Kluyveromyces lactis: one gene and its partners. The protein of the gene in region 1 binds, or shares a complex with, the protein of each later gene. Links are inferred from orthologs where the notes say so. Each region holds a gene or a part of one and is shown in the gene's direction. Other genes may lie near its edges.

Region 1 (3,326 bases):
ACATGGCAATTGCGATATTGTAGCTATTTACCAAATAAATTGGGTACGATATTTTTTTTGACGATCGGAATTTGTTCACTGTCCGCCCTGACGGATCACAAAGGTATATACAATATGTTTTGACTGGAAGCGTTATCAGTATACTTTAAATTGTGTCAACGTTGAAGTTACGATTGTTTTGTGAATTTATTAAGGCTTTTGACTTCTTGTTTAGTGAATAAGGTAATAAGTATAGGCAAGTTGACTTTTCTATCCAATAGTTCATTACGTCCAGCCTTGATTTCAATAAACGAGTCTAGTTTATTAAATTGATGTAGTGCTTTCCCGTTTTCAGTAGTCTTGAAGATCTCTATTATCGAAAGTGCTTTTTGTACATGAACTCCATAAGCAACAAGTACGAATGTATCAGCAGTGATAGCTGCGAGTTGATCCACACATTGTTTAATATTGGAGTTTTTACTGTACGAAATAATTGCTCCTACAGATGTCTCAGACGCATTGTTCCAACCTGCACTTCGCAGGGTTTCTGGGATGATTTTTTCTTTGATGTAGGTCGAACATTCTACGTAGGTGGAAGGATCTATGCCTTCTACTTCAATTTCGTTATATTTTAGTTTGGAAGAAGCCATCGTTGTTGCTTTGTAGCTAATTACTCAACTAAGGCGAGTTTCTCATCGATTGAATTATCAATACTCAATGCTACGATAACTTGGGAAGTTATTGTAGATTTCTTTTCGACGAGATGGGATGAGCATTGATACGATGAAAGCTATTCTGCGGACTGTTTACACCCTTACATATGTAAAAAATGTCAACACAACACCCATGCACCTTGATAAAACTCCAAAGGAATTAATTTCCTCTTTGACTAGTGGTCACGTGCATTTAAACAATGCAAACCCGTTGTATTAAGCAATACAACGTTAAAGTATTAACAAGTCCGGCATATGGATTGAATCCTCAGCACCAGATGGTTTTCAAGCGTAGAGGGTACATCCTGATACCATTCACTCAAGCTCCTTCTTTTTTATAATATACCATATGAGTTACACCTATTTCTGTATGATTAACGGATGCTTGTTTGTTTTTCATGTGGGCCTTAATTTGGAAATTGGAAAATCTCAAATTTTTCATCGCTGAGGGAAACCAAACTTGAAAAATATTGAATTTTATGATAAAACGTCCTTTACATATGAATATACATAATTGGATGTTAAGTACTTGATTAGATTTGTAGTTTGTATATAGTTTACAAGAACCACAGGTACTACCTTAAACATCCTATCACTAAAAAAGTCGAAATGGGGGGCGTCCGTGAAAAGAAAGCTGAATACTTTGCCAAGCTAAGAGAATACTTGGAAGAATACAAGTCTGTCTTCGTTGTTGGTGTTGACAATGTGTCTTCCCAACAAATGCACGAAGTCAGAAAGAACTTGAGAGGCAGAGCTGTTGTCTTGATGGGTAAGAACACCATGGTCAGAAGAGCTGTCAGAGGTTTCATCTCTGACTTCCCAGACTACGAAAAGTTGTTGCCTTTCGTCAAGGGTAACGTTGGTTTCATCTTCACCAACGATTCCTTGCAAGATATCAAGGAAGTCATCATCGCCAACAAGGTTGCCGCTCCAGCCAGAGCTGGTGCTGTTGCCCCAGAAGATATCTGGGTTCTCGCCGTCAACACCGGTATGGAACCAGGTAAGACTTCTTTCTTCCAAGCTTTGGGTGTTCCAACCAAGATTGCCAGAGGTACCATTGAAATTGTCTCTGACGTTAAGGTCGTTGACGCTGGTAAGAGAGTCGGTGCTTCTGAAGCTTCTTTGTTGAACTTGTTGAACATTTCTCCATTCACCTACGGTTTGACCGTCGTTCAAGTTTACGACAACGGTCAAGTCTTCCCAGCTTCCATCTTGGATATCACTGACGATGAATTGATCTCTCACTTCATCTCTGCTGTCAACACCATTGCTTGTGTTTCCTTGGCTGCTGGTTACCCAACCTTGCCATCTGTCGGTCACTCTTTGATCAACAACTACAAGGACTTGTTGGCTGTCGCTATCGCTGCTGACTACATCTACCCAGAAATTGAAGAATTGAAGGACAGAATTGAGAACCCAGATGCTTACGCTTCTGCTGCCCCAGTTGCTGCTGCTTCCGGCTCTTCCGAAGCTGCTGCTGAAGAAGCTCCAGCTGAAGAAGAAGAAGAATCTGATGACGACATGGGTTTCGGTTTGTTCGATTAAACACCTTATAATTATGGAAACAATAACAATTAAATTTTAAATTCACATATCGGTTTCAGATGATCAATCTGTATCTATAAGTTTAGTTAGTCTTTATTAATTTCTATCTTAAGCGCACAAATCTTATCGCATCAAATTATCGTGTCTTCATGGCGACAATTTATTTGTTTTTTGCCTGTCTAAGCGGTCCGCTCCATAGTAGTGTAGGTCAGATTATTGCTAATATTTGAAGAAAAACTGACGTCGGACACAAACTAGATTACCGTTCACTAACAGTTTGGTCAAAGTTGATGGCATAGCTTAGCAACTAGCACACAGGCGGTCTGATTAAGATGTCTTTATCGGTGAGGAGTCAAAGTCAAGATAATAAAGTCCTCTCAGATCTGTCTGAGAAGAAGTCATTTTTCAAACCTTTCCAGCAAGATAAGGATCTTGATGATAATCTAGTTTCTTTCGACCATGAAAGAGAATTCGTACAAGATCCTACTATTGGATCTAGTATCAAATTGGATGGTTCAGATGTGATAAAGTTTTCAGTTCGTGTTGACGAATCTTTCAGACTAATTTACGATAAAAATAATAATGCTTTAAAAGATGGTTCCAACACTCAAAATAAAAGTGAAGAGGCAGACAGTGAGAATATAGATATCATCGAAGGGGAGTTTTACTGGAAAAAGCTCAATAGATTGCTTGATGAGGACATTCTTCATGTATTCGAACCAAGAACTTCACATTTCATAGATTTCATTAATTGCCTCGGTGATGTCCCTGATTTATCAGATACAGAGTCATCAAGTGGATTCCTAGTTAACGAAGAAGATATAGTAGGCAAACACAAAGAATACGACATTGAGAACAGTTTAGCAGATCTTGGTGAGGTCATTTTGCAATGGGATATGGTATTAGGTATCTTTCAAAAGGTTAAAGATTTGGACATTGAAATGGATGTACTAGAAAAAAGTATAGACCTAGTAGCGAGATTTGTAAACGCTTCCCCAGATAATACTCTCTCAGTACTACTCAAAAAAGCTAAAGAGGAAATTGATAATTCTGAATGTAAATTTGTTGAAGGGAGGGGCAATTGTTTGG
Region 2 (2,682 bases), on another chromosome or scaffold:
CAAAGAAGGCAAAGGTCGAAAATTTCTAAGGCAAGGTTATATTTCAAAAGAGTTGGTTGGCAGGAGAGGGCAAATGAACGGTATCTTGAGCTGAAACTTATGAACAAAAAACATACGGAAGCAAAGAACCCGGCTTTACCCAGTGATGATTTGAAATATACTTTGTACAAAAATGGAGCAGAATGTCCAATATGTTTCCTCTACTTTCCTAAGCCTTTGAATATTTCCAGATGTTGCAAGCAACCGATCTGTACTGAATGCTTCGTCCAAATCAAGCGTGCCGCACCACACTTCCCGCATGAAGAGGTAGATCCAACTCAAGATCAAGAACCGGACGAATTGAAGGATCCCAACCTTCTTGTCAGTGAACCTGCCAATTGCCCTTACTGTGCCACTGCAGAGTTTGGTGTAACATACGAACCGCGCAGGGACGTGCGGACTGGAATCAACGGGATCTACGCTTCCGAATACAAGATTGCCGAATACAAGGACCGTGAAGGCCTAGTATCGGATTCTAGCAGCAATGAAGATGACGAACTCGTAACTATAGAACAAATTCGTAGGGGCTCAATAGCAGCCGATGATCCGTCTGTGATAACATCCGATTCTATAAGACCTGACTGGGAGATCAATCTAACCAAAGAAAGATTAAGACTCGCTAGAAGATCAGCAAAAGCTACTGCAATACACATGAGTAATCAATTAATTGATCCCGAACACCCTTCTAGACACGCATCCATTTCTTCTTCAGTTGGAGGCCCTGACGGAGGGAATAGTCCTCAACGTCGTCAGAAAACATTAGAAGAACTGGATGACGAAATGCTCCAACAAGCAATCAAACTAAGTTTGCAGGATCATTAACCTAATTTGGAGCTTATTTCATGAACTGAAAGCATTTTCTCCTGCACTGCTGTCTCCTTCATTACCTTCACGACTAACGACAGATACAATCAACACATTCGCAAATTACTTCACTTTGCATGCATCTTTTAACAATCCCATAACTTTCGCATCATACCTTAAGATACAAGGTACACTCATCAGTAACACTGCGCGCGAGTATATATATGTTTATAAAACATAGAATATTATGTGGAATATAGCACCCATCTGCGGACTCACTCCGACTCAATATCAGGGATTCTCCCTTGTACATCTACGCTGACTCTGTACATCCAGCGTTTCATGCAGAAACATTATATCACATCACACGAATTATCATGCCTGACGAAACCACGCAGCTTTTCCTGAAATTTTTCACCTTTCCACGATGAGATGTGAAATATCAATAAAACTTACAGGAGTAACCATTTAACATTTCGATAGGAAAAGTATTTGTTTTACACATGATGGCATTTGTTCAATTTGAAGCTTCTTTTATGAAATATTCTTATTACTTATATCGTTTTATTATTTAGTTTCTCTTATTTTCAAAGGACCAAAGAAATAGTCTGCTTCATTACGAGCTTAATCTGATTATCTCTACACTTGCCAGAACCAGGAAATTTTACATTAGAAATGTCTGTTGAAACTGCTTTGTCTTACGCTGCTTTGATCTTGGCTGATGCTGATATCGAAGTCTCTTCTGAAAAGTTGTTGGCTTTGACTGAAGCTGCCAACGTCCCAGTTGAAGGTATCTGGGCTGATATCTTTGCTAAGGCTTTGGCTAAGCAAAACATCAAGGACTTGTTGGTCAAGTTCGAAGCTGGTGCTGGTGGTGCTGCTCCAGTTGCTACTGGTGGTGCTGCTGCCGGTGCCGAAGAAGCTGCTGCTGAAGAAAAGGAAGAAGAAGCCAAGGAAGAATCCGATGATGACATGGGTTTCGGTTTGTTCGATTAAATTAGGTTAACTTTTAACATAGGAGGAATAAATTCTGTTTTTATTACTAGCGCATTAAGCTACTACTTACTACGTTAAATTTGAGAATCAAATAACACATCATTTGAGTGTATACACAAATATGTATATATAATCAACCGTTTTTAATACACAAACGTCCAATCTTCAAAGCATCTCATCACTAGTGACACTTTGAAATATAAGTAGGATCGTATAAGGTTCCATAATATCATTAGACAAATTGATAATCTGATAATTTGAATTAGATGTAAAATATTATAGTTTATACGTTTTTTTACACGGTAGACAATGTCTCATAATTACCAAACAGGAAACTTATTGAGAAAGGGGATGCGGTGACATTAATTCTTAATGACGGAAAGATAATTTGATTAAAAGATATTTATAAAATAAAACAACGTTTTGTCTAGTATTTGAATAAAAGGTATGGAGTTGCTTATTTCTTCTTTTCAGCTTCAGCTTCAGCCTTGTCCTTAGCTCTCTTTTCTCTGATACCCTTGTATCTCTTGTCGGATCTAGCCAATCTCAAAGTTCTGTAAGCAGATTCACCGTTGTCTTCAACAGCTCTGGTTTCAGAGTCAGTAACTGGTTGGACAATTGGGAAAGAGGCAGCAGCAGACAAAGTTTGTTCAGCTTCTGGAGCCTTACCCTTTCTTGGGAAGACGATGATCTTAGATTGGTATTCCTTCAATCTTTGGATGTTCAAGTCCAAGATTTCTTGGTTTCTGTTTTGACGTCTGTGGTCGACAGCAATACCAATGGTTCTGGCGTAAGCAGGAGTCAAACCAGCAGCCTTAATTTCAGCCAAGGTGAAACCTCTAC
Region 3 (2,469 bases), on another chromosome or scaffold:
AGAAAGAGAGGAAGAGATGAAGAAAAAACAGCAGCAGATGAAGCGTAAGTACAACAAGAGAAGGTTTCAGCACCGTGTCATGACGGATAGGGACGGTAGAGATAGATACATCCCGTACGTGAAGACTATTCCGAAGAAAACTGCAGTGACGGGGAAAGTGTACCACGAATGTCAAGTGATGCCCTCGATAGACGATCCAAATTACCATACAATTGTGGAACATAGAAGACAAATCGTTAGAAACATCCACAAACCAACGGTTACGGTGCTTGACCAAACTCCTGGTGTCACTATGAGTAACGCCGGTATGTCGATGAGATCCGACACTTCCAAGTTCTTAAAAGTTGGAAAGGAAAAGAAGAACAACGCAAGGGCTATCCGTTTGCCAAAGAAGGAACTTTTGGATCTATTGTTCAAGTTGTTTGATGAATACGATTATTGGTCCTTGAAAGGTTTGAAGGAGAGAACAAGACAACCAGAAGCATATTTAAAGGAATCGCTAGATCAAGTTGCTATGCTTGTGAAAAAGGGTCCGTATGCCTTGAAATATACTTTAAAATCGGAATATAAAAAGTTGAAGGAAGCTGAAAGAGCTGCTACGCTTGGTGAATTGGCACAACACGCTGATCCAGAACAACAGCAGCAGATTCAAGACCAATTTGATCAACAACAACAACAGGAGAACGAGCAAGAGGAGGAAGACTTGGAAGACGTGGAAATGGAGGATGTGTTGTAGAACCCTTCAAACATAGTATATATATATATATATATATATATATATACACATAATCATGCCCCACCGGTTATCTAGTAAATGAATGGATATCTTATTCATGATGCTGGCATGTCTAGTCCTGTGATGTATTCTTGTGACCTGAACCAATAGTAGGATTAAAGAATTCAAATCACGTGATTAACAAAGGACTGTCCATTGTTAAAATAACACCCATACACTCCAAACACTGAAAAATAAAAACCCACACATCCGGATACAAAACGAGAAAATTCTCAATTGGGTAGTATAATACTCAAAGAAACCCAAAAAATCTCTAAAAGCCAACCTCCTGACACCCACACACCATCAACTAAACTTTTCACCAATCTCATCGACTGTGCTCATTGAGTATTGTGCAATTGGCAAGCCAGTAAACGTTTAGTTTCGAACAACTTTCGACAGTTTTAACGTTTTAGATTTTAACATTTGTCGTTAATAGTGGTGTTTTGTATATGTCCATTTAGTGTTTTTTTGATGTTTAGCGTTTTTTACATTGTATTATCGGTTCTTGTTTAGTATTCTTTATAACTTTTAATTACAGTTTATTAACTCTTTTGTCTTAATAGTTTCTGTGAATCTCCAAGCATCAACAACTAGGAAGTACATTAACAAAAATGGCTAAGGAAATCGCTGATATTAAGGAATTCTTGGAATTGATCAGAAGACAAGATGTCAACTCTGCTACCGTCAAGATCAACAAGAAGTTGAACAAGAACGGTAAGGCTTTCAGACAAACCAAGTTCAAGCTAAGAGGTTCCAGATACTTGTACACCTTGATTGTTAACGATGCTGGTAAGGCCAAGAAATTGTTGCAATCTTTGCCACCAACTTTCAACGTTAACAAGTTGTAAGGGTAGTCTAGAGAGACACTAATACTTTCTTTAATACCATATCAACTGTTTTTTTTGGAAATTCCACCAATCGTCTGTTTCAACCCATGGTGTGGGGTAAGTACTCTTATTGAATTGAATTTAAATTGAATTTGAATTGATTTAATTACCAGCACTTTGTACTGGCAATTTTTACCTGAGGAACGAACCATCCAGATTGAAATGAACAAACTCGTCAAATAAGTTATAATAAACGCATACTTTTTATCTGCATTCTTTCATTGATGAGACGATAAGATTACTACTCTAATGATGATAATACAGCTTGTATTAAGCGTCCAGTGGTAGGTTTTTTTTACCTGTGTTAATTGTCTTTGCGAGCTTTTAAAGTTTTATTTTGGGCTTCACAAGGAAAAATGACTGAGGTTATACACAGTATGAATTTTCCCTGGTATTATTAGTACAAGCTCTGTTATATCGTCATTATCACTGCATGATTATTATCTCATCTATTTTTTTTATTTGTTTTTGGTATATATGAGTATATAGGTGTGCTTTAAGCACGCTATTCGATACGAGTTGGAAACTCAGGGGACAGGCATACTTCGCTGTGAAATGCTACCTTGGAGTATCGTCGGAAGATGCAAGATTTGATTCGGTGACCCTGGATTTAAGATCTCCAGATGTGTCTGTTGAACGTTGGAAATTCTCATTCGGACTTTCTTCTATCACTTCAGAGTTATCGTCTGTTGTTTTATTCTGATCTCCCTGTTCTTCAGAACTGGCATCAGAATCACCTTCCGTATCCTTTTCGTAGGAATCATCAGGTATGATTCTTACGTCACTGGTATCACTAAACGATAC

Evidence for each region. Proteins that work in one complex are often made in the same cells at the same time.
Region 2: RPP0 (region 1) and RPP1A share a complex: the UniProt entries of both Saccharomyces cerevisiae proteins name them as parts of the large ribosomal subunit. The link is inferred for Kluyveromyces lactis from reciprocal best matches to the Saccharomyces cerevisiae genes RPP0 and RPP1A.
Region 3: RPP0 (region 1) and RPL38 share a complex: the UniProt entries of both Saccharomyces cerevisiae proteins name them as parts of the large ribosomal subunit. The link is inferred for Kluyveromyces lactis from reciprocal best matches to the Saccharomyces cerevisiae genes RPP0 and RPL38.

The regions. Positions count from the first base shown.
Region 1 is NC_006038.1:531,982-535,307, reverse strand, and holds RPP0 (60S ribosomal protein uL10), read left to right. Parts: upstream 1-1,301; coding exon 1,302-2,237; downstream 2,238-3,326. Other genes in the region: ribonuclease P/MRP protein subunit POP6, read right to left, coding at 168-629; KLLA0_B05885g (uncharacterized protein), read left to right, coding at 2,570-3,326. UniProt on the Saccharomyces cerevisiae protein: Component of the ribosome, a large ribonucleoprotein complex responsible for the synthesis of proteins in the cell.
Region 2 is NC_006041.1:1,966,472-1,969,153, reverse strand, and holds RPP1A (ribosomal protein P1), read left to right. Parts: upstream 1-1,518; coding exon 1,519-1,839; downstream 1,840-2,682. Other genes in the region: SIP5 (Sip5p), read left to right, coding at 1-861; KLLA0_E22001g (60S ribosomal protein eL13), read right to left, coding at 2,297-2,682. UniProt on the Saccharomyces cerevisiae protein: Component of the ribosome, a large ribonucleoprotein complex responsible for the synthesis of proteins in the cell.
Region 3 is NC_006039.1:1,609,153-1,611,621, forward strand, and holds RPL38 (60S ribosomal protein eL38), read left to right. Parts: upstream 1-1,389; coding exon 1,390-1,626; downstream 1,627-2,469. Other genes in the region: transcription factor IIF subunit TFG2, read left to right, coding at 1-736; KLLA0_C18238g (PEX28-32 family peroxisomal membrane protein), read right to left, coding at 2,224-2,469. UniProt on the Saccharomyces cerevisiae protein: Component of the ribosome, a large ribonucleoprotein complex responsible for the synthesis of proteins in the cell.